3 linked regions of the Alligator mississippiensis genome follow. The protein of the gene in region 1 interacts with the protein of each later gene in a biochemical or structural test. Links are inferred from orthologs where the notes say so. Each region holds a gene or a part of one and is shown in the gene's direction. Other genes may lie near its edges. The genes, in order: SRPK2, LUC7L and RBM15.

The links.
Region 2: of the proteins of SRPK2 (region 1) and LUC7L, one has a biochemical effect on the other in vitro, tested with the Homo sapiens proteins (2 studies listed by BioGRID and IntAct). The link is inferred for Alligator mississippiensis from reciprocal best matches to the Homo sapiens genes SRPK2 and LUC7L.
Region 3: of the proteins of SRPK2 (region 1) and RBM15, one has a biochemical effect on the other in vitro, tested with the Homo sapiens proteins (2 studies listed by BioGRID and IntAct). The link is inferred for Alligator mississippiensis from reciprocal best matches to the Homo sapiens genes SRPK2 and RBM15.

Annotation. Positions count from the first base shown.
Region 1 is NC_081827.1:26,456,768-26,464,316, reverse strand, and holds the start of SRPK2 (SRSF protein kinase 2), read left to right. Parts: upstream 1-4,487; 5' UTR 4,488-4,600; coding exon 4,601-4,616; intron 4,617-4,712; exon of another isoform or gene 4,713-4,714; coding exon 4,715-4,799; intron 4,800-7,549. UniProt on the Homo sapiens protein: Serine/arginine-rich protein-specific kinase which specifically phosphorylates its substrates at serine residues located in regions rich in arginine/serine dipeptides, known as RS domains and is involved in the phosphorylation of SR splicing factors and the regulation of splicing.
Region 2 is NC_081836.1:22,862,658-22,869,990, reverse strand, and holds the start of LUC7L (putative RNA-binding protein Luc7-like 1), read left to right. Parts: upstream 1-4,279; 5' UTR 4,280-4,364; coding exon 4,365-4,425; intron 4,426-6,093; exon of another isoform or gene 6,094-6,164; intron 6,165-7,300; coding exon 7,301-7,333. UniProt on the Homo sapiens protein: May bind to RNA via its Arg/Ser-rich domain.
Region 3 is NC_081837.1:34,888,692-34,896,300, forward strand, and holds the start of RBM15 (RNA-binding protein 15), read left to right. Parts: upstream 1-4,519; 5' UTR 4,520-4,607; coding exon 4,608-7,487; 3' UTR 7,488-7,609. UniProt on the Homo sapiens protein: RNA-binding protein that acts as a key regulator of N6-methyladenosine (m6A) methylation of RNAs, thereby regulating different processes, such as hematopoietic cell homeostasis, alternative splicing of mRNAs and X chromosome inactivation mediated by Xist RNA.

The DNA of each region.
Region 1 (7,549 bases):
AACCAGCAAGTGTGTAGCCAGGAAATCCGGCCCCCCAAAAATAATTTCAAACGAACAATAAACAAACAGACTCTTTTTCAGTGTATGTGCACAAATATATCAAACTGTTAAGAAACATGGAATGGATATGGGAAATAAAGAGAAAGGAAGAAAGCATTGAGGCGAGGAAGAGAGTGGTACTTGAATGCTACAAAGAACTCTGCTATCTTTAGCAAATTCTCCTTTTCTGTATTATTTTTCCTTTTCACAACCCCTGTATTCTCTTTTCCTCCCCACTGCGTTCTTTGTTGTTAGTTCCATTCTGTGCAAGAGCAGCAGCATGTTGGTGAAATTGGCTAACATCCTGATTTTTGGGAACATGTGGTTCATAGAGCATAATATTGCCCACTGAGAAAAGCAGTACAGAGATAAACAGGAACATAAATTAGAACTGCAGGCCAAAGTCTTCAAGGATCCCTTTGCTCAAGAAGTGGTTTCTATTATCCTCAGAAAAGAAGCAGACATCACCATATTTACAAGACCACTGCTAGATTTGTTTTTTTTTTTCCTTAAAAATGCATCCCAATTTCCATAAGAGTAGCTGAAACCTCCTATGTAAGGAACATATTTCTAGGTCAAGTGAAAAGGAAACAACTAAGACTTTTTTGAGGTCAGGTCTAAACTGCACTGTAGAGCATAATAATAAACAGGTAAAATGTCAGCTCACAGCTTGTATGTTTCTCCTTTCCATTCCCATTTGCGTTCACAGCCACGCAAAATGAAAGAATAACTCTTGCCTTCTATTGTCCCTACTAATTGGGCAAGTCAAACCACCTGAGCCTAGAAACTTGGTCCCTACAGCAAATGAACTCCTTGATAATCCAGCAAAACCAGACACCTCTGTTGCAGATACTCTGTTCAAGGAAAGGCAGCCAGTGAAGGGGAAAGTAATCCTGTTATATCCCATTGTTGCAAATTTACTTTATCTATTTGTTACAAATACTTCATTCCAGTCTGTGCATCCTTTTGAGCGCAGTATTTAATTTAAAAACATTCTTTTAAGGTAACAAAATAGGATGGAAGGAAAAGGAAGCATATATACACTTGCACTGAAGTAGCAAAATAAGTTAATTAAAACATACATGTAATTATTTCTGTACACATTTGTGTTCAGGCTAGCCCTATAAGTAATTTTTAATACCATTTTACCTTGTCTGAAATTTAATCTAATATTTTTGGCCTCCTTTCTCTGTCATTTCCAAATGTAGGCCCTAATCCTAGCAAACACTTTATAACTACTTTATGTGAGCAGTCCCTTTGATACAGCTGAACTACTTCCATAAGTATCATTTTACACATGCTTAAGCATTTGCAAAACTAGGGCCCTCGTCATCATCTCAACATCCTTTGTGTTTAGATTGTACAGCTATTATATTTACCTACTAATTTAGATAAGTGCACATAAGAATCCTTTGTGCATGTGTAAAGACTTTCCCATTTATTTTATTATCTTTCTGTGTGAGCATATTACACAGATCTTTTGAGTAGCCTCTTCAGAAAATAGAAAGACAGAACAGGAAAAATGCAGTCCATTTCCTTGGAACAGGAATAAATTGATTGTATAATAAACACCCACCTAATCCTAAGAAATAATTCCTTCTCTGTGCAATACCAGATACTTCTCTCATGCTGCTTATATTGCTGACATTATACCCTTGAGGGAAATTCCTTCCTGACTCCAGATTTGGCAATCACTTTATCACTCTGTTCATATGAGTAAAGCCCTTTGTAGCTGCACATCTAAGACCCAATTGTCCCATACCCAACCCCACTGAAATAAATGGGAGTGCTCATGAACAGCTGAAAGTATGATTGGGCCCCCTGATCTATGACTGAAATATCCTACAATCACCCCTGAAAGGACTTCCCTGACCTTTCTAAGCCTGATTAGAGGGGCCAGGCCTCCTTTGCATATAATATGTATATCTGTTAGTCACCCAGCCGCTTTGTAAGCTTGAAACAATTGTGTTAAACTTTGGTAATTACAGTACTTTCTAACTGCAGTGTCCTCAAGCATTAAAAGCATGTGTGTTATTCTCTTCAGAATGATTAAATTTAAAGCAATAATAAATACATTAGTGGTTCTTTTTCTTTGCCTTTTGGTATTGGAGTCTTAGCAATTTGATGTTATTCACTGCAACCATGAGGTGTGCAGAAGTATATTGAAATAGACTTTTAAAATTAAACCTGAAATCCTAATTGAATGAATCCAGAGGCTTTAAGAAAAACAACAAAGACGACTTAAAATCAATATCCAGGAGTTAACAACATGGCATCAATCTACATCTAGAGGCTTCTCACTACTATTTAGTATTGTATAAACATTCACCAAGAAATGTGGGGAGAAACCTTGCTTTACTGACACTGAGGAGTGTCAGGGGGGAATGTTCGAATAAGTGTCCAAAAAGTGTGGAAACTTTTCAGAAGAAAGAAAAAGAGGGTCACAGGAGGGACTCCTTTAGATTTTACTAATATTGGCAAAATGTTAGTAAACACAGGTGACATTATTGAGGGCAGCTCGTCTGTTTGTTAGCAGGCACCTGGTTGTTGTCCATTACCAGAAGCTTTTTGAGCTATACTGCATGAGGTATTTCAGGAATGAGGCAGAACTCCAAAAGGGGACCCTAAACGGATATACAAGGAAGAGTACTGGAGCACCGAGAATTTAAAACTGGAAGTTTTAAATACTCTAAGTGCTCAGTGTTTGACTTCTTATAACAAACATGTGCCATTTTTAAGACTATATTATGCACCACATCCATAATCTCCCACCCTCATGCACTTGTAGTGTCTGAACATTGAGCCTTCTGGGTTGCAGCACCGTGTTCAAGCACTTGACCTACTGAACCAATGAACACTGGCTGACAACACCTTCCTATCATCTTGTGTGCCTAATGCTTCCTCAGCCTGACAAAGCGTATTTGTACCTGAAAGCTTGCAAAGAAGAATTTTGTCAACTATTTGAGTTGGTCTAATAAAAGATATTGGATTTACCCAAAGAACCTCACCTGCCCGAAGATGCCTAATGCACTGGTGCAGTAGATCACCTATACTCAAGCAGTAGAACTGACTGAAAAGCTTATTATGCTCCTGGAGAATGCTGAGTTTTGGGTTTTTCTCTTTCGCTGAATGTTTATATTCAGAAATGCCGCGGTGGTGCCTCATGGGAGTTGTGGGCTAAGAAGCCCGTGTGCCCTTTCTTCTCTACAGCAGCAGTTCTCAACCTTTTTTGTACCAGGACGAGGGTGGCCACGAGGTACCTCAAAAATAGATGTCCCCACTACCACAAACGTGGTGCGCCTCCCGAGGCTGGAGGGCACAGTGAGGTCCCGCAGGCAGCGGTGTTGGCGGTGGGGGTAGTGGCGAGTGGTGAGCTCCTGCAGGCAGTGGTAGCGGTGTCTGCAGTGGGGTCAGGCCAAGAAGGGAGCTCCCGTAGGTGGTCACCGTGGTGTTGGCAGCAGGGAGGGGGTGGTGTTGAGTGATGAAAAATAGAGAACGTAAAGGCACTTGGTTTTCCTATCAACGGAGGACCAGAAAACCAGACTCTCCTGTATAAAACTGGACAAATGGCCACCCTAACCAGGACCCATTTGTAAAGGTTGATGGCCAGTCCCAACCCAGTGCCCCTCAGTGTGTGGGCATGTGGGGTAGGGAGGGCAAGTGCACAGGGGTCCCAGGCAGCCCCTTGCAGGTGGGAACTGTGCCAGCCTGGGAGAGAAAACCCACGGGTCCCCCGCCTTTCTCATAGATTGAATAGACATTAGGGCTGGAAGGGACCTCGGAAGATCATGGAGTCCAGCCCCCCCCCCCCGGGACAGGAAGTCAGCTGGGGCCATAGGATCCCATTAAGATAAATGTCCAAATGTCTCTTGAAGGCATTCAAAGTAGGTGCTTGAACCACCCCTGGCGGCAGGCTAGTCCAGGCGTTGGGGGCTCGGACAGGAAGGAAATTCTTCCTTGTGTCGGGCCTGAAATGGTCTTGCAGGAGTTTATAACCCTTCGACCTTGTCACCCCTTCCTTGGGGTGAACAGATCCAGATCCCGGCGAGCACCCCGATAAACTTTTCCTCCTTTAAAAGAGAATCCACTTTTACAGCGTGTGGATCCGTTTCCAAAAACTTTGCTTGCCCCCCTTTCCTAGATGTTGGGCCCAGGGGTTGAGAAAGGCTGCTTCAGGGTGGGCTCCCCGATCCGAGCAGAAACAGCGGGGCACCACGTGCGCAGCGCTCGTCCTGCCCGCCCGGGCCGGGGGACGCCCGGGGAAGGCGCCGGCTGGAGGCTCCCGGGGGCTCGGCCTCCCGCCCGGCGCGGCACTCCCACGCGCGAGGTCCCCAGCGATGCGAGCAGGACCCGCGCCCCCACCTCCACCCCCGCCGCGCTCCCAGGCCGGGGGCAGGAGGCGCCAGCGCAGCCCCCGCCCCGCCCCGGTGCCGGCTGCCGCGCCTGCGCAGCGCTCGCGGGGCTGCTGTCCGTGCCCGGCGCTCCCACCGCCTGCTCCTCCGCCTCCAGCCTCGGCTCCGGCTCCGCTCGTGCGCCGGGCCTGGCCCAGCGGCGCAGAGCGATGAGCTCCCGCAAAGGTACCGTGGGGCCGGTCGTGGGGCAGGGGCCGGGGCAGGGGCAGGGGCCGGGGCCGCTCCCCCTCCCCCCCCGCACTAACCCGCCCGTGTCTCCCCAGTGTTGGCGCTGCAGGCCCGGAGGCGGCGGCCCAAGCAGCCCGTGGCGGCGGCGCGGAGGGACAAGCAGCCGGCGCAGCACAAGAAGTGAGTGCGGGGCCGCGGGGTGTCCCGCCGCGCTCGGGCGCCGGGGGTCGCTCCGGCCTGGGAAAGTTTCCTTGAGGAGCGGGGCCCGCGGCCCGGGCTCCTCCCACAGCGCCCTCAGGGCTCGGGGCCCCGCGCACCTCGGCAGGGGAAGGGGAAGGGGCTTGGGGGAGACAAGTGCCCAGCGCCCCTCAGGCGAGTGAGTGCTGGCCCCTTGCCCCGCGGAGTTGGCACTTCCAGAGCCGGCGCCCAGCTTTTGGTTGCCTCAGGAAACGGTGGCAGCAAGGTGTCGGGTGCCTGGGCCACAGAAGACCCCCCCCCCTTTCTTTTTTTTTTTGGCCTGCTGGCTCCTCGGTTTCTTCTGCTTTCTCTCCTCCTCGTCTGTCTGACTGTCCCAAACGCTCAGATCTTTGCGCGGGAGTCTGAGATGTGTCGCTCTTCTGAATGATATAAGGAATGATCTGTGGCCAAAATTTAATTGACATTGGTATTCGATTGGATTAGAAAGAAAATCAGCCTTAACAAAACAAAACAAAACAAAGGTTTAGGTTCCCCTGCTTTGTTTTGAAGCCAGACACTGCTGTCTCATGCTGCTCTTGAGCGACAAAGAAAAACGTGAGAGGAACAGAACAAAATCATGAAAAGTCAGGGTTGTTTTTAGCTTTTAATCCTCCAAGGTTGGTATTCAGAGTAGACACCTGCTTGTTTGCTTCTGACTCTAATGTTATCATTTGAACTTTATTTCTGCTGGGGTACTATCCTTCAGTCACGGCAGGAAGGGTCAGCACAGCAACCAACATCCACTGCTCCCATTAACAGTCTGCTTCAAGGGAATTGCATGATTGCCTGGTAGAATTCTTTGCATTGTAACTTATTGGCAGACTGGTTGCATCGCTTATTAAGGTAGTCGCACAAACTGAACAAAGCAAGAACTTTTACCTCCACGTTTTTTTTTTTTGTTTAGTTTTCATCATCTCAATAGTTAATGTAAGGGTGTGAAGGGCGCTTAGTGCTTGCCAGATGTAGATCCTTTCAGTTGATAATGAGAGCTAGCAGAAAAGATCTCCTAAGATTTTGTGGTGTGGAGAAGTAGAATGTAAGTGATTGGTCTAGGGAGGAAGGAAGGGGAAGAAGTAAGAAGGTAAGCGATTGTTGTAAGGAGGGGTCCATGTTATGACTTCGATCATGATGAAGTCTGTGAAATCCTACAAAGGTTGGTGGTTGAGCCTCAGTTGCAGAGATGGCTAGAAAAGCATTATGTAGTGCTACTATTGGCAAGTTATGCCAGATATTTGGTTCTGAGAAAAATACATGGATTTACCATGTGATGTATACAAGTTGCTTTTTATCAGCCCTAGTCTGTTAGGCAAAGGATTAATCAAAGCTGTTAAGACAGTTGCACACAGAAGTTGTACCAGTTAAACTGCAGGTCTACCCTTTGAAAAGTAGTATGGGAAATGAACAGATCTCTGCACACAGGCTGTGTTCAGAGACATACTTGCTTTGTAGTAAACATGCTGGTTTGCTATTCTTTCCTTGGTATTCCAGAGCACAGCCCTGGAAAAGGTAGCTCACTTACTTTTGGCTCTTGTCTACATGCAGACTTGAACTTTAGAGTTAATGCAGAAGCCAGGAGAAAAACATATTTTTTTTTTTTTGTTTTTTTGCCTCCTCCCCCGTGCCTTTCCTCGTCCCCTCAATCAAATTTGCTTGCAGATGTGGTTTTTTGTTGTTTGCTGTTTGTTGTTTTTGTTTTTTACAGCATGTAACATATTGGAGCTCAACTGATTGAAGTGTTTGTGCAATACTACAATGCAAGGGAAGGCTGATCATGCTGTTATTTTCTTGCGGTGGTGAGGAATACAATTGCCAGGGAAAATAAAGTACCTATATTTCCCTCCTGTGCATGGGTGGAAATGATACAGCTTTTCTTGTGACAAAAAATATCCAGACAATTAATATATTCTTGGGCTTATCTATATTGTATAACTTGATTTTATGTATACACGTACCTAGAAAATGGTATGTTGCTGCCATTTGTCAGTATTGTCACTTTTGTTATCCTACAGTGAGCAAACCTGTCTGGGCCACCTAGTGTCATTTTTGTGTATTTACTCAGAATATGGTGTCAACATGAGACAGTGGGTCCTATGAGTAAAATTGATAAATAGTTGTCTTCTGAGTTGTGGTGCTTTGGATAAGCCTTCATCATTTTGTCTTCATTGCCAGCCTGAAAGACCATACAGTTCTGCAATGTATTAAGCTCAAACATTTTAAAAACTTGGATATCTAAAATTAGCTAATCAGGGTAACTTCATGCCCCTACTTTGAAAAATTAGGCTTCCCCATTAGGCTCCCCCATATCAGTCTAAAAACTGATCTAGCCTGTTGTTGATTTCCCTTCCTCTCCCCTTCCTTTTTCTTATTGGGTATGTGTAATGGTCTTCATACATACATAGATTATATTTTACAGAAAGTAATTATATTTCAGTTTTAATATATGTAATTTGTAGCTTCTGATATGTTTGAATATCTGAGACACCTCTTCATCTAATGTTTATATTTTTAATGTGTTGATGAATAAAGCCGATGCCAAAAGTTTTTGTGGAATCCATTCAATGTACAGTAAATCTTATACTGTAAAGAAATGAATGTGTCTGTTAAAGTACTGTATATGTTGGTTCCTCTGTTAACTGAGACTTGCAAAAATCTCATGCTGGGAAAGCATCTGGGATTGTAACCATTTACTTTGA
Region 2 (7,333 bases), on another chromosome or scaffold:
AAATAATGGTTACAAGCTGGCAGAGGGTAGATTTAGACTAGACATCAGGAGGCGCTACTTCACAGTCAGGGCGGCTAGGATCTGGAACCAACTTCCAAGGGAAGTAGTGCTGGCTCCTACCCTTTAAGAGGAGGGAGGGTCTTTAAGAGGAGGCTAGATGAACACCTTGCTGGGGTCGTTTGACCCCAGTGCTCTTTCCTGCCATGATAGGAGGTTGGACTTCATAGATTTCATAGATTTCATAGACATTAGGGCTGGAAGGGACCTCGGAAGATCACCGAGTCCAGCCCCCTGCCCAAAGGGCAGGAAGTCAGCTGGGGTCACAGGATCCCAGCAAGTTAAGCATCCAGTTTGCTTTTGAAGGTGTTTAATGTAGGCGCTTGAACCACCTCCGGTGGCAGGCTGTTCCAGACCTTGGGGGCTCAGACAGTAAAGAAATTCTTCCTTATGTCCAGCCTGAAACGGTCTTGTAGTAGTTTATGACCATTCAACCTAGTCATCATCCCTTGGGGCGCTCTGGTGAACAAACGTTCCCCCAGATACTGGTGGTCACCCCTGATAAACTTATAGGTGGCCATCAGATCACCCCTGAGCCTGTGCTTTTTCAGGCTAAAGAGCCCCAGGGCTTTCAGCCTGTCATCGTAGGGTCCGCTTCCCTGACCTCTGATCATACGCGTGGCTCTTCTTTGGACTCTCTCAAGCTTCTCCACATCCTTTTTGAATTGTGGAGCCCAAAACTGGACGCAGTACTCCAGCTGTGGCCTCACTAAGGCTGAGTACAAGGGGAGAATGATGTCCTGGGATTTGCTTGAGAAGCATCTATGGATGCAAGCCAGCGTTTTGGTCGTTTTACTAGCCGCAGCATCGCACTGCAGGCTCATGTTCATCTTGTGGTCAATGATCACCCCCAAGTCTCTTTCTTCCATAGTGCTAGCCAACATAGCACTGCCGAGCCTATAAGGATGCTGCGGGTTTTTCTTCCCAAGGTGAAGAACCTTGCATTTATCGGCGTTGAACACCATCAGATTCTCGTCCACCCACTTGCTGAGCCTGTCCAGGTCAGCCTGGATCACCTGCCTGTCTTCTGGTGTGGATGCTTTGCCCCAAAGTTTGGTGTCATCGGCGAACTTGGCCAGTCCGCTTCTGACTCCAGTGTCCACATCATTAATGAAGATGTTGAACAGTATGGGTCCAAGGACAGAGCCTTGGGGGACCCCACTGGTCACAGGACACAATGATGAGTGACTTCCATCAATTACTACCGTCTGGGTCCAACCGATTTCTAAATCCGATTTCTAAATACACATACACATTCAGTCAGCCAGACCCCCTCCCACATTGCCTCGGTTAACTAACTGCGAGCCCAATGTGCTGTTGGATGGAGGTGATTCAGACAGATTCTCCCTGAACAGAATGTACGTTACCAGACAGGAATACCAGACAGAAAATTTAGCCGGCAGTAAGGTTCAGACTGACCTATTTTAACAAGGTTCAGATCCAGTTACCACGGTCACGTTGGGAGCCTACGGGCAGTCCTCCTCCGAAACCCAATAGAGATTTTGAATTAGGTCTCTTACCTCTCAAGTTTGGTGCCTCGGGTTCGGGGGCGGGGGGCAGTCCGCGGTCCTCCTTCCTCAACACGTGTTCTGGATGCGAGTCACGGCACCAGGAACCGTCGTGGAAACACACGCAGCATACTTTTGGGTCAGGTCAGCAGAAGCTTTTATTTAAATGAAACTACAGCTGTAGGGGGGACTCCAAAGTGACATGGATTTCCCAAGCACTTGGAAGGGGTTCCCCCCAAGAGCAAAAGCAGGAGGCTTATATACTTTTTAACAGTCGCTTACAACTCATGTGATCATATAGTGGAATTAGCTAGAAAAGCAGCTACAAACATTACCTCATACTGCTTTGCTGTTATCAGGATGGGAACTATGGGGGGAGACAAAGGGAAAAATAACACTCCCTTCTTGCACCTGGAAATCAGAGTTGTACATACTTTTTTGTTATCTTCAAGGCCACGGTGAGCGAAGCAGTTGCAGAGGAGTTACAAAGAACAAACACTTTCCCTTATCAGTTCTACTCTACAGAGCCAGCAATTCCCCACAATGCGGTTATGTCATCTTATAACTCGTATGATCAAAGTTTAAGGCATTTATTTCTTTCTGATTCCACAATTGGGTCCAGTCCCCCTGCATTAGGCAGGAAAGACAACTAGGGTCAGGTGACCCCAGTAAGCTGACTGTCCAGTCTCGTCTGGAGATTTCCAGGGTAGATGATTGCACCACCTCTGTGGGAGTTTATTCTACAGTGTAGACGCCATGACTGTGAAGAAGTTTTTCATACAGTTGAGCCTGAAGAGGCCTTCCAGGAGTCTGCGGCCATTACTCCTGTTTTTCCCCAAGGGTGCCCTGGGGAACAGTAGGGCTGTGCGAAATTTCGCCACCAGTTTTGTTTCGATGCTGTTTCAACCTGTTTCGAGGTCAAAACAGCAGAATTGAAATGGAACCGACATGGTCGAAACAGCCTCGAAACAAAACGAGGCAAGTAGAAATGTTTTGCCATTTCGAGGCTGTTTTGCCATTTCGCCCATAGGCTGCAATGGGGAAGGTTGAAACAGCTTATAACTTTGTCATTTCTGGCCTGATTTGGATGAACCTTGCAGAAATGCTATCCCCTTCTGAGGGTATGAACCATGCCAAGTTTCAAGAAGATAGGTACAGGGGGTTCAGAGAATCTGCACCCCAAAGTCTTGAGAGCAAAACTCATGTCACATGTACGTATTAAGCCACAGTGGAGTCAAAGCTGCCAGGATGGTAGCCCTTGATGAGGCACCAAAGCCTGCCAAGTTTCAAGGAGATAGGTAGAGGGGGTTTGGAGAAACTGCACCCCTTATATCCTGAAAGCAAAACTCATGTCACGTGTATGTGTTAAGGCACAGCAGGGTCAAAACTTCAGACATGCTAGCCCCTTCTGAGGCCACAAAGCCTGCCAAGTTTCAAGGAGATCAGTGCAGGGGTTTGGGGGAAACTACACCTCGTGCTGAGGACAAGCAAAACTCGTGACATGGGTGACAGTGTGTGTGTTAAGGTGCAGCAGGGTGAAAGCTGCAGGCCTGCTAGCCCCTGCTGAGGCCACGAAGCCTGCCAGTTGTCAAGGAGATAGGTGCAGAGACTTCTGGGTTCTGGGGCCCTGCACCTCTAGCTGCTGACAGGCAAAACTTGTGAAATGGGCTGTCTTCCAATCCTCAGGGATCTCCCCTGAGCACCACAAGTTTTGGAAAAGTTTTGCCAGGGGTCCCGCAATGACCTTAGCCAGCTCCTTCAGTACTCTCAGGTGGAATCTGTCCTGTCCTCCTGACTTATAAATGTCTAGCTTTTCTAGTTGGTCATGCACAAGTTCAGCATCAACAGTAGGAAGGCGGTCATTCCCACCACGCCCCCTGTGAAGCTTATCTAGCATGTTTTTCCCCTTGGTCCAGTGAAATACCAGAGCAGTGTGGGCATTCAGGAGTTCATTTTTTTTCCTGAGTGCCTGTTACCAGCTGTCCTGAGGTGTTAAGCAGGGGTCCCACACTTTCATTTGTTTTCCTACTGCTTACATACCTACAGAAGGACTTCTTATTGTCCTTGATTCTCATCACTAACTTAAAATCAGTCGCTGCCTTAGATTTCCTAATCTTCTCCCTACATGTGCGGACTGCTGTTGTATAGTCCTCCTTGAGGACTCTCTCTAGCTTCCATTGTGTGTATGCCTCTTTTCTTTTTCAAGAGGACCATGATATCCCTATTAAGCCAAGAGGGCTTGCCAGCCTTTCTACCTTTCCTCTGCAGGGGAATGGTCTTTTTTTGTGCTTCGAGGATTGTGTCCTTGAAGAACAACCACTCTTCATGCACTCCATTTGCCTGTGGTCCCTGGTCCCCCATCGCCTCCCCTACTAATGCCCTAAGCCTCTTGCAGTTTGTGTTTTTGAAGTCCAGGACTTCAATTCCGCTGGTTGATTTGTCTGCCTTATGGCAGACAGGGAACCTCACGAGCTCAAGGTTGCTGTCGTCCAGGCTACCTTTAATATTCACGTTGCTCACCAGATCATTTCCTTTGGCTAGGCTACCTACATCGCCAGGGTTGAAACGATCCTACCAGTACGATCATTAGAGACCGGGGCAGGCGGAGCCGAGGCCGGGCTCGGCTAGACTCCATGTCCCAGGCCTCCGCGCGCTGCAGGGCGGGGCCGCTTCCTCCCAGCGTCCCCCGCGGCGCCAGCAGAGGCCGGAGAGCCGGAGCCGGAGCCGCCGCCCGCCTGCCCCGCGGGGGTCCCGCAGCGAGAGGCCGCCGCCGCCTTCTTCGTCGTCATCATCATCATCATGTCGGCCCAGGCCCAGATGCGGGCGCTGCTGGACCAGCTCATGGGCACGGCCCGGGACGGTGAGTAGCGCGGCGAGGCCTGCAGGAAGCGCCGCGGCCTGGCAGTCGCGCAGGCCTGGTCCGGGCGGGCGCGGCCGGGGACGGGGACGGGGCCGCCCCGGCCCTGGGCCTTGCCCACTCCCCGCGCGGGCCCGATCCCTGCCTCGGCTCTGCGCATCCTCCCGCCGGGCCTGCCCCCCCTCCGTCCCCTCCGTCCGCGGCGCTGGCGCTGGCGCTGGGCCCGATCCCGGCCGCCTCAAGCCCCTTGGGGCGCCAGTAGGGCCCTGTGCCCGAGTCGCGATCCTTCTGCTCCTGGCGGGCCGGGCAGGGGCCGCTGTAGGATAGCTGCCTCCCCGTCAGAGCGCTGGTTCCTCCTGAGCCTGGTCTTTGCACCCTCCCTCTTCTCCCTCAGCCCGTGGGACGTCGGCTCACCCTGGGCCTGGTTCTTGACCCCTTTCCTCTGACCCCATTATCCTGGCAGGACCTCTGACTCCCAGGTCTTGCCTTAGCCCCTTTGCTCTCTTCCCTGCAGCTAGTGTTCTGGGCCCTGGCTTTGATCCTCTGCCCCAAACAGGGACACACACAATCCGATCTCTTGCTGCCCTCTCTCGCAGCAGAGGCCCGGTGTCAGTGTCAGGTTTTCTTGCTGGTGACACCCTTGATGCTCCCTGTGCGGACCCTCTGCTGAGATGTTTAGAGCCTGTCATGATCTGTCTAGAACCGCCAGCAGCTGGAAGCATTTGCGTGCATTAAGTCAGACTTAAAATGTGCTGTTATTCCATTCCTGTCCTCGCACAGGACCGGTGAGGACACATTGAGCATCCAGGCCTCGTTCTCAAACATGGGCTCCTTATCAGATTATCCACAGCTCACCTCCAAGTGGTTGGGTTTAGCATTTGAGCATGAGCATCTGTTCTGCATGTGTCTGTGTCAACTTTGAGTGTCCACAATTGGTATTTGGCTGACTCACTAAGGAGCCTAGGTTTGAAAGATTGGGCCCTCTCAGAGTTTCCTCCTCTGTCTAGGTGCTGCCGCCCAACAAAAGTATATTTATAGTAAAGCCCATAAAATAGTCCAGAAACAATGTTCTGGGACTGCAGTTGCTGTAAGTAGAGTAAGCCTACGTTTTAGTCTTTGTAGCCTTTTTCTGAGGCTACCTGGAAACCTCAACAGAAAATACCCTTGGTATCTAGTTCTGCAGTGCAGAAAAACTCAGGCTTCCCTCACAGAAAATATAGTCCTGAGTGTCCCATCGCTCTACTGTTGCACTTGCAAGGAGAGCTGAAAGTCTCAACTTTCCTGACTTCATGTTGATCTATTTGGAGAGGCTTTCCAACGGGGGGCCCACAGCAAAAGCTCTGCATTTAATCAACACCTTTCACACAGAAGTGTACATAGGTAGGTTTGTGTTTAGAAACTGGTATTCCTAGATATTGCCCAAGAAAAGGAATGTCGCATCTTGTGCAAAACTGTATTCTTGCTATGGTTTGTATCTTCTCTTCTACTGAGTTATTGACTATTTAAACGCACTCTGACACTTAGCAGGGCTATCCAGGTATTTTGCACTTTGTTTCGTAAGTGAATAAGTGCTTTTTCTTTCTTTGTGTATTGAGTTGCTTTTGAATTGCTTCCCATATTTTTATTTCATACAAACTGAACAATTGTGGCCCCTCTATTTTATTTATAAAGGTTCAGTGTATCTTTGCCTGCCTACATCAATCTGCAAGGGAGTTGCAGAAAAGCCTCATGTTCATCGAGCCGTGAGTCACAACCAATTTTTAAAGCTGTTATAACAAAAAAAGTGTTTGCTTTTTCCTCACGAGTAACTTTAAAAGTGTAGCTTAGAAAGAAAGGAAAGAAAGAAAGAAAAAAAGAAAGAAAGAAAACATTTTCAATAGACACTACATTAATCCTGGATGCTTGCAAATCCTAAACTATATTCATACTTTAGTATTACACATACCTGTGTCATATACACAGATTAGCTTTAAAATTGTCACATACCATTGCCACTTTGCCTTTACTTTTATGTATCATTCCCCTGACTTCCTTACTGCAGGTGTGGGCAAGAAAACTTTTCCTTTAAAACTTTTCAACAGTGGGCATAAAATTCTACAGCTGAGGTCTTGAAGAATGCAGATGGGTATAGTATGTGTTGGAGCTCGCAGTGTGTATTGACTAACTTTGTTTCTTTTTTCTTTTTTTTTTTTCCTTTTTCTGCTTTTCTGATATTGTCTTGTTTAAGTGGCTCCCAAGTACAGTATGTCTTCTGGTGGGTGGGAGGTGGGTGGGAAGTACATGTTTCATGTTCCAGGCCAATACCTACAAGCTTCATTTTTCACGTGGCCTTGGACAACACACTACACAATTTGGTTGCCCAAACCAATTGGACTGATGCATTAGGTTACTGGATTAGTAAATAGCAGTTGCCTGTAAAGATTGCCAAGCACAGCCCTGTTTTGTGATTCATGGCCCTCTGATAGCATGGGTTTTAGTATCTCCTGTCCCCTACATACTCTTTGTATATTGGGAAAAAAAAAGGCACAAAACATTATGGCTGTCAGCCAAGTTGTCTGTCTGTCTCTCTTTTTTTTTTTCTGGCTGTGCTGTCTCTTTACATGGATGACAGGTGATAGACACTATTTGGCTTGCCAGCACTCCATTTAACATGTGATATACTCGATGTATAGATGCAAAAATAATGTTTCAGTTGCCAGTTGTAAAAAATCCAGAATAATTTATCCATAACTCAGCTTTTTCAAACAATCTTGGGGAACAGGAAGGTGAAGTATTTTTTTTTTAATCCGCATATTAAGGCAAAATCATCATACCAACACCTTCATGCTTTTATCAGTATTCTAATGCTTTCTTATTTGAAACCACACCTGAATTTCAGGAGATGAAACCAGACAAAGGGTGAAGTTTACTG
Region 3 (7,609 bases), on another chromosome or scaffold:
ATAAAGTATTTCATGGTTTCCCTTGAAACCCATTTTCAATGCATGTCCAAATGAGACTGAGTCAGAAAACAAGAATTGCATTGGGCAAAAGCAATGTTTGGAGGGTCAACATTTGTTTTTGTTCCAGATGGGAACAAGATCGACATCTTGTGAAATTCTGCATAAAACCAAAAAAATATATAAATAATTACCCAGGAGAGTGTGTGAACAAGAGAGAAGCACTCACTCCTAAGTAGCCAATAGCCTGATGATGTGCATACTCACCTGGGATGTGGGAGATTCAGATTTTTAATCGCTGGTCCTAATCACTGGTTTGAACCCTTTTGGCGTCAACGAGAGGTAAGAATACAGCCAGCCTCTTAAAGCTAAACAGTTTATTACAGCAAATTCTAACATGAGACTTAATTACAAACCATAAGCAATTCCCTGATTACCTGTCAGCTGTACTGTCCCAGTTTGGATAGGCAGTCCTCACCGGGCAGCTGGGGAATTCAAGGTGCAAACTCCAGCAGCTCCTTTGATGGATTGCGGATCATCCTGGTACCTCGGGACTTTTTATACTCTGTAGCGATCATGTGGACTGTCTCTGTAATTTTCCACACTATGGTTTCCCTTTCCCCACACCCTCCCCACACACTTGTCACATGACCTCACCCCTCATTCGAGTTACAAATGCAAGTTTGCCAACTTTTAGCTAAGCAAGTTTAAAACAGCATATGTTCAACCATAAACCCAGAGCAGTCTAAGACGGTGGTTTTCAACCTTTTTTTCATTTGTGGACCCCTAAAAAATTTCACCTGGAGGTGTGGACCTTTTTGAATTGTAAGTGGGGGGTATTCACATACTTTTGATTGATCCCCTTTTCATGGACCCCTTAGACATAGCCTGGGGACCCCCAGGGGTCTGCGGACCACAGGTTGAAAACCACTGGTTTAAAGGGGAACTCTCTTGACCTGAGAAAACTTCCTGCAAAATGTGGGCAGACTGGAGAGTCCAGCACAGGGCAACAAAAATAATAAGAGGCTTGAGCAGCAAGACTTACAAGGAAAGGCAAAAAAACTGAGCCTATTTAGTCTGGAGAGGAGAAGACTGAAGCGGGATTTGATACCAGTCTTCAAATCCATGAAGGGTGAGAGGATGGAGAAGTTACAAATGTCACAGTCCAGTAAGATTTAGCTAAGCTTATTTAAAACAGTACATCTTCATCCACAAACCCAAAGCAGTCTAAGAAACACCTTAGTCCAGTAGTCAGCAACTGAAGGCCCACACCTAGCCTGTGGCTTTAGGAGACAGGACTAGGAGCGGTGGCCTCAAGCTGCAGCAGAGCAAATTGAGGCTGGAGAATCCAAAGAACTTTCTGACCATGAGGGTGTGCAAGCATTGGAGCAGGATCCTGAGAGAAGTTGTGACATCTCCTTCCTTGGAAATTTCCAATATCAGGTTGGACCCACACTTGGCTGGATGGTTTAATCCTGCCTTTGAGCAGGGAGTTGGGCTGAATAACCTTGCGAGGTCCTTTCCGGCTCTACTTTCTTATGATCCTGTTTCCAAACCAAACTTTTCAGTGTTGCTGAAACGGCAATTTTGATGGAAAAAAGTTTGTCAAAAGTTTTTGGCCAGTTTTACTGTGGTAAAGCAGCTAGGTGACTGTCCCAATGTGATTTGAAAATCCATGAAGCCCTGGACATTATAACCCCTATCTTGTTTCTATGACTCCCAGTATGGCCCTTTATATATATTTCTCTCTGTCTTTCATCTACCCCTGCATAATTAAATCTTTATCAGCCTGTCTCCCATATGATTATGTGCAACTAAGTATATGTGTCCGTCTTTGATGTATCTTAGGATAACATGGTATAACTAAGTAAAAGACATCAATGTCCATGCACACCGACACAGCATACACCCAATATATGTTTCTGATTGATCCTGTCTACATGTGTATTTACCCCTGCCTAAACTTAATGCATCTTTGCTTAAGGTGCATTAAGATGACTTAGGTGCATGTCTACGCATGGACATGCTAATGCACATTAAGTCTCATTAAATGTAGGTGTGAATAGCTGAGTTGCATTAGCACATGTGTAGAAGCATGAATGTGCATTAGTATGTCTACACGCGCGCAAATGTCTTAGCTATTCACATGTAAATTTGATACCTGCTTTATGCATGTATCAAATTTAGGCTGGAATAGCCTAAAAACAGCTTTATGCCTAAATAGCCTAAAATCACCATTTTCAGAGTGCATTAAGGGTGCGCACGTGTAGATGCGCACCCTTAATGTGCCTTAAATTGGGCTACTGTTCATTAAATGTGGACGTGAAGACATGACCCCTGTCTCCAAACTACCATAATTCATGAACTATTTAGCTCCACATTTGAACCCCCCCCCCATTTCAGGAATCTCTGTCTTGAACATACAGGAATTCCTGTCTTAAGCTGGCATCACATATGCAGCAATTTGTTGCATACATGACACCAGCTTCTTTGGAAAGAGAAGGTGAAGGCAGGGCAGAGTGCCACCTTGCCTGAATGCCAGTACAATGCCTTTAAAAGAAATCTCATTGGTTTCGCCTCTGATTTGACGTGAGATGCTGCTGGGAGACATTTTTTTTTCACCGCGGAATAGAGTTGAGGCACCCGTCACAAATTGCCAGTTTAGTTTTCACTTTTTTTTTTTGACTACAGAAAAATAATAAAAGAGTTTTTTCTGCTGCAAAGAACTCCGAAAGACCCCAACCGTGGATCTCGGTTTGAAATCTCTGTGCTTATCTTGTGACTCATGGTTGCAAACCTAACAGCACTATCACGGCGTGGCACCCTGCTGCACCCTCTGAAAGGATCTCAGGGTACCACAGGGTGCCATGAGACCCTGGTGGAGAATCACTGCAATAAGCCAGCTCCACATCTTCCACTCTTCAGGGCAGAGCCGGGTATTTCAGGCCTTCTCCAGGCAAGTGGAGAGAATTCTTGCTTAGAAAAATGGCCTCTGTTTCTTCCTCCCAGGGATCCTGGCAAGGGAGGGTTCCCATCTCTTGGTGCGGCAGGTTTTGTTCATTGGTTTATGAAATGTCAGGTTGAACATAGAGCCGTTGGGTTGGAAGAGGTTTCAGAGGTTGTCTAGTCTAGGGCAGGGGGCAAGTGGTGCGGGCAGCCTCTGTGTGGGGCACGTGGGAGACTGGACTGGGACAGGCGGCACACTGGTGGAAAGCAGAAAGCAGAGCAGAAGTTGGAGCAGTAGAAGAGATGGCAGGGAGCAGACAGCAGAGCAGAGGCTGGAGCAGAAGAGATGGCAGGGAGCAGACAGCAGAGCAGAGGCTGGAGCTGTAGAAGAGATGGCAGGGAGCAGACAGCAGAGCAGAGGCTGGAGCTGTAGAAGAGAGGGCAGGGAGCAGACAGCAGAGCAGAGGCTGGAGCTGTAGAAGAGATGGCAGGGAGCAGACAGCAGAGCAGAGGCTGGAGCTGTAGAAGAGAGGGCAGGGAGCAGACAGCAGAGCAGAGGCTGGAGCTGTAGAAGAGAGGGCAGGGAGCAGACAGCAGAGCAGAGGCTGGAGCTGTAGAAGAGAGGGCAGGGAGCAGACAGCAGAGTGGAATGCATGAGGACCCCCAGGGCAGAGAGCAAAAAGCAGAGCCAGTGTCTTGGGCAGTGAAGTAGGGAAAGGAGCAGAAAGTCGAGTGGCAAATCAGCAGGGAGGGGAATACGGCGCAGGGAGCGGAAAGCAGAGCTGAAGACCAGAGGCAGGATACCGTGATGGGAACAGAAAGCGGAGCAGCAAGCGAGAGCCCCCTACTTTGGAGCTGGCGTCCAAAAAGCACCGCCCCGCATCCTCCCTAAGCCAATTACTTAAACTCTCGGCGTGACTGACACCCTCCCCCGCCCATCAGAAGGCTCCTCACCTCCATCCAATCAGATCGATAAGGAGATTTTCATCAACCAATGAGGGCGAAGGGCCAGGGTCCGGCGGCATCCCGCGCTTATCCCGGAGGGACGTGCGGCTCAGCCTATCACATTGGTAGGGCGGGACGGGAGAGCGGTAGGCCAATCACAACGAGAGGTAAGGTCACGGCCTGTCCCGCTGAACTGCTCCGACGGACACAAGCCCCATCCAGTCACAGAGAAGGGGCAAAGCGACTTTTGACCAATGAGAGGCAGGGGCGGGTTCCCGGCGCCCAGAGCAGGCCGGTTCGAAATGACGCGGATCCTCACCAATCAGAGACGCGAGGCCCCGCCGCTCTCCGCTCAATGAGAGCCGGAGGAGCGGGGTAGGACGGTCTCACCCCGAAACCGTTACGATTGACAGGCGGCTCGCCCAATCAGAACCCCGCAGCGGCCAATCAGAGCCTCCAAAGGGGGGACCTTCCCTCACAAGCCACCCGAGCACGAGACAGCGAAGAGAGGCAGCGCAGCCACCCAATCAACGAGCGGCCAGGGTGGGGCCTCCCGGACTGACAAGACCAGCGCCCAACGGCAGCAGCGGGGGAGGATAGAGTGGCCCAATGGCGGACAGGGGGGCGGGGACCATTTCCGCGGCGGGTTCCAAGATGGCGGCGCGTGCGTGAGCGCGGGTCCGTCCGTCAGGGAAGCCGTCCCGGAGGTGCTCGGCGCCATGAAGGGCAAGGAGCGCTCCCCGGCCAAGGCCAAGCGGTCCCGGGGCGGCGGCGGCGAGGACTCGGCGCCCTCCTCCTCGTCGGCGCGGGCCGAGCGCAGCAGCAAGAAGCCGAGCGGCTCCGGCGCGGGCGGCAGCAACGGCGGCGGCAAGGCGGCGGGCGGCTCGGGCGAGAGCGGCCGGCGGGGCCTGCACCCGGACAAGGCGGGCCGCGCCGGCAGCCGCGAGTACGAGGCGGGGGCGGCGCCCGGCGGCGGCGGCAGTAGCCGCCACGGCTACAGCGGCAAGAACGCCGAGTCGTCGCGGGGCAGCGGCGGCGGGAGCCGGGGCGGCGGTGGCGGCGGCGGGGGGGAGTCCCGGGCGGCGCCGCCCCCCTCGTCCTCCTCGTCCGAGTCGGGGGGCGGCGGCGGCGGCGAGTACAAGACGCTGAAGATCAGCGAGCTGGGCTCGGCGCTGAGCGACGAGGCGGTGGAGGACGGGCTCTTCCACGAGTTCAAGCGCTTCGGCGACGTGAGCGTCAAGATCAGCCGCCTCCCGCCCGGCACCGGCGCCGCCGACGAGCGCGTGGCCTTCGTCAACTTCCGCCGGCCCGAGGACGCCCGCGCCGCCAAGCACGCCCGCGGCCGCCTCGTGCTCTACAACCGCCCGCTCAAGATCGAGGCCGTGTACGTCGGCGGCGGGAGTGGCCGGCGCCGCGGCAGCCGCTCCCCCGCGCTGCTGGACAAGGAGTCCCCCTACGTGGCCGCGGTGGCGGGTGTGGCGGCTGCGGCTGCCGCTGTGCGGCACCCCGCGGCCGGCGCCACGCAGAGGGCCTTGTCGCCTGCTGGAGGGGGGGGCGGTTTGGGCTACAGAGACTACCGCCTGCAGCAGCTCGCCCTGGGCCGCCTGCCGCCGCCGCCCCCGCTGCCCCGCGAGCTGGAGCGGGAACGGGATTACGGGGCTTTCTATGACACCCGCGTGCGGCCAGCGTACGGGCTGGAGCGGGTGGCTGGCGTGGCGGCCGCCGGCGGCTTCCGAGGAGGAGGAGGGGGTGCCGGAGCGGCCGGCGAGGAGGAGATCAGCCCCGAGGACGACCAGCGAGCCAACCGCACGCTGTTCCTGGGCAACCTGGACATCACGGTGAGCGAGTCGGACCTGCGGCGCGCCTTCGACCGGTTTGGAGTCATCACGGAGGTGGACATCAAGAGGCCGGGCCGCGGCCAGACCAGCACCTACGGCTTCCTTAAGTTTGAGAACCTGGACATGGCTCACAGGGCCAAGCTCGCCATGTCGGGCAAAGTTCTTCTGCGCAACCCCATCAAAATCGGGTATGGCAAAGCCACCCCCACCACCCGGCTCTGGGTGGGGGGCCTGGGGCCCTGGGTGCCACTGGCTGCCTTGGCCAGGGAATTTGACCGTTTTGGTACCATCCGCACTATTGATTATCGGAAAGGTGATTCGTGGGCCTACATCCAGTATGAGAGCCTGGATGCGGCACAGGCTGCCTGCACCCACATGCGTGGTTTCCCTTTGGGTGGGCCCGACCGCCGCCTCCGAGTGGACTTTGCGGACACGGAGCATCGCTACCAGCAGCCATACCTGCAGCCGCTGCCCTTGCCCCCACCTGCCCACTATGAGCTAGTGGCAGAGGCAGCTGCATTTGGGGCTCATCGGGGAGCCCCACCTGACCCACTTCGGGGTGCCCGGGATAGGACACCACCGTTGCTGTACAGAGACCGGGACAGAGACCTTTATCCTGAGGCGGAGTGGGTGCCTCCGCCACCCCCTGTACGGGACAGGAGTAATCGAGCAGCTGCCTATGACCCTCTGGAAAGTCTGGAGCGTCGGCGGGATGGTTGGTCCCTGGAGAGAGACCGAGGGGAGAGGGAGTTGGGTAGCAGTAGCAGGGACCAACCCAGGAAACGGAGACTGGCTGAGGATGGAGGCCGGCACTTGGACCGCTCTCCAGACAGCGAGCGCTCGTCTTCGTCCCGTAAGCGACATTGCCTGGCTGCAGCCTCTCCCCCAGACCGCAGCCCTGATCCTGGTGTGACCCGGGAGCGTTACCTTAGTGATGCAGAGCGTTCCTCCCGTTTGCTCCTGCTGGAGCGGCCGTCACCAATTCGGGAGTCACGCAGGGGCAGCCTGGAGCGTGGCCAGAGTGAGAAGCGTGACCGCAAGAACTCTGCTGAAAGAGAGAGGAAGCACCGTGTCTCAGCGGTAGTTGCTGCCCAGGAGTGCAAGAGTCCAGCCAAAAAGGATGAGCGCACGACAGAAGTGGGCAGTGGTGGAGGGTCCCGGCTCAAACCCCCACCCCAAAAGCAGCAGCAGCAGCAGCAACAGCAGGATGGAACATCGCAGTCTGCTGCGGCCCCCAAACTGTGCCTGGCTTGGCAGGGGATGCTTCTGTTGAAGAATAGCAACTTCCCGTCCAACATGCACCTGCTTCAGGGAGACCTCGGTGTAGCCAGCAGTCTTCTGGTGGAGGGATCAACTGGTGGCAAAGTGGCCCAACTCAAGATCACTCAGCGTCTTCGTTTGGACCAGCCCAAGCTGGATGAGGTCACTCGCCGCATCAAGGTGGCAGGTCCCAATGGATATGCCATTCTCCTGGCAGTGCCTGGCACATCAGACAACCGCTCCTCATCTGGGGCCAGTGAGGCTGCCACCACCTCTACCCAGAGGCCACTCAGGAATCTGGTGTCCTATCTAAAGCAAAAGCAGGCTGCTGGGGTCATCAGCCTCCCTGTAGGAGGCAACAAAGACAAGGAGAACAGCGGGGTTCTGCACGCCTTCCCACCCTGCGATTTCTCCCAACAGTTCCTGGACTCCACGGCCAAAGCTCTGGCCAAATCACAGGACGACTATCTGGTCATGATCATTGTTCGTGGTGCATCCTAAAGCCCTCGTTCTCTGTACCCAACCCTGCCTACTCTTCCACGCAGCCCTTCCAGCGTGTGCCAGGTGCTATGGGATACAGCCTTAGCCAGCCTCACAATTATTTTTAATTAGATCTTTATTTG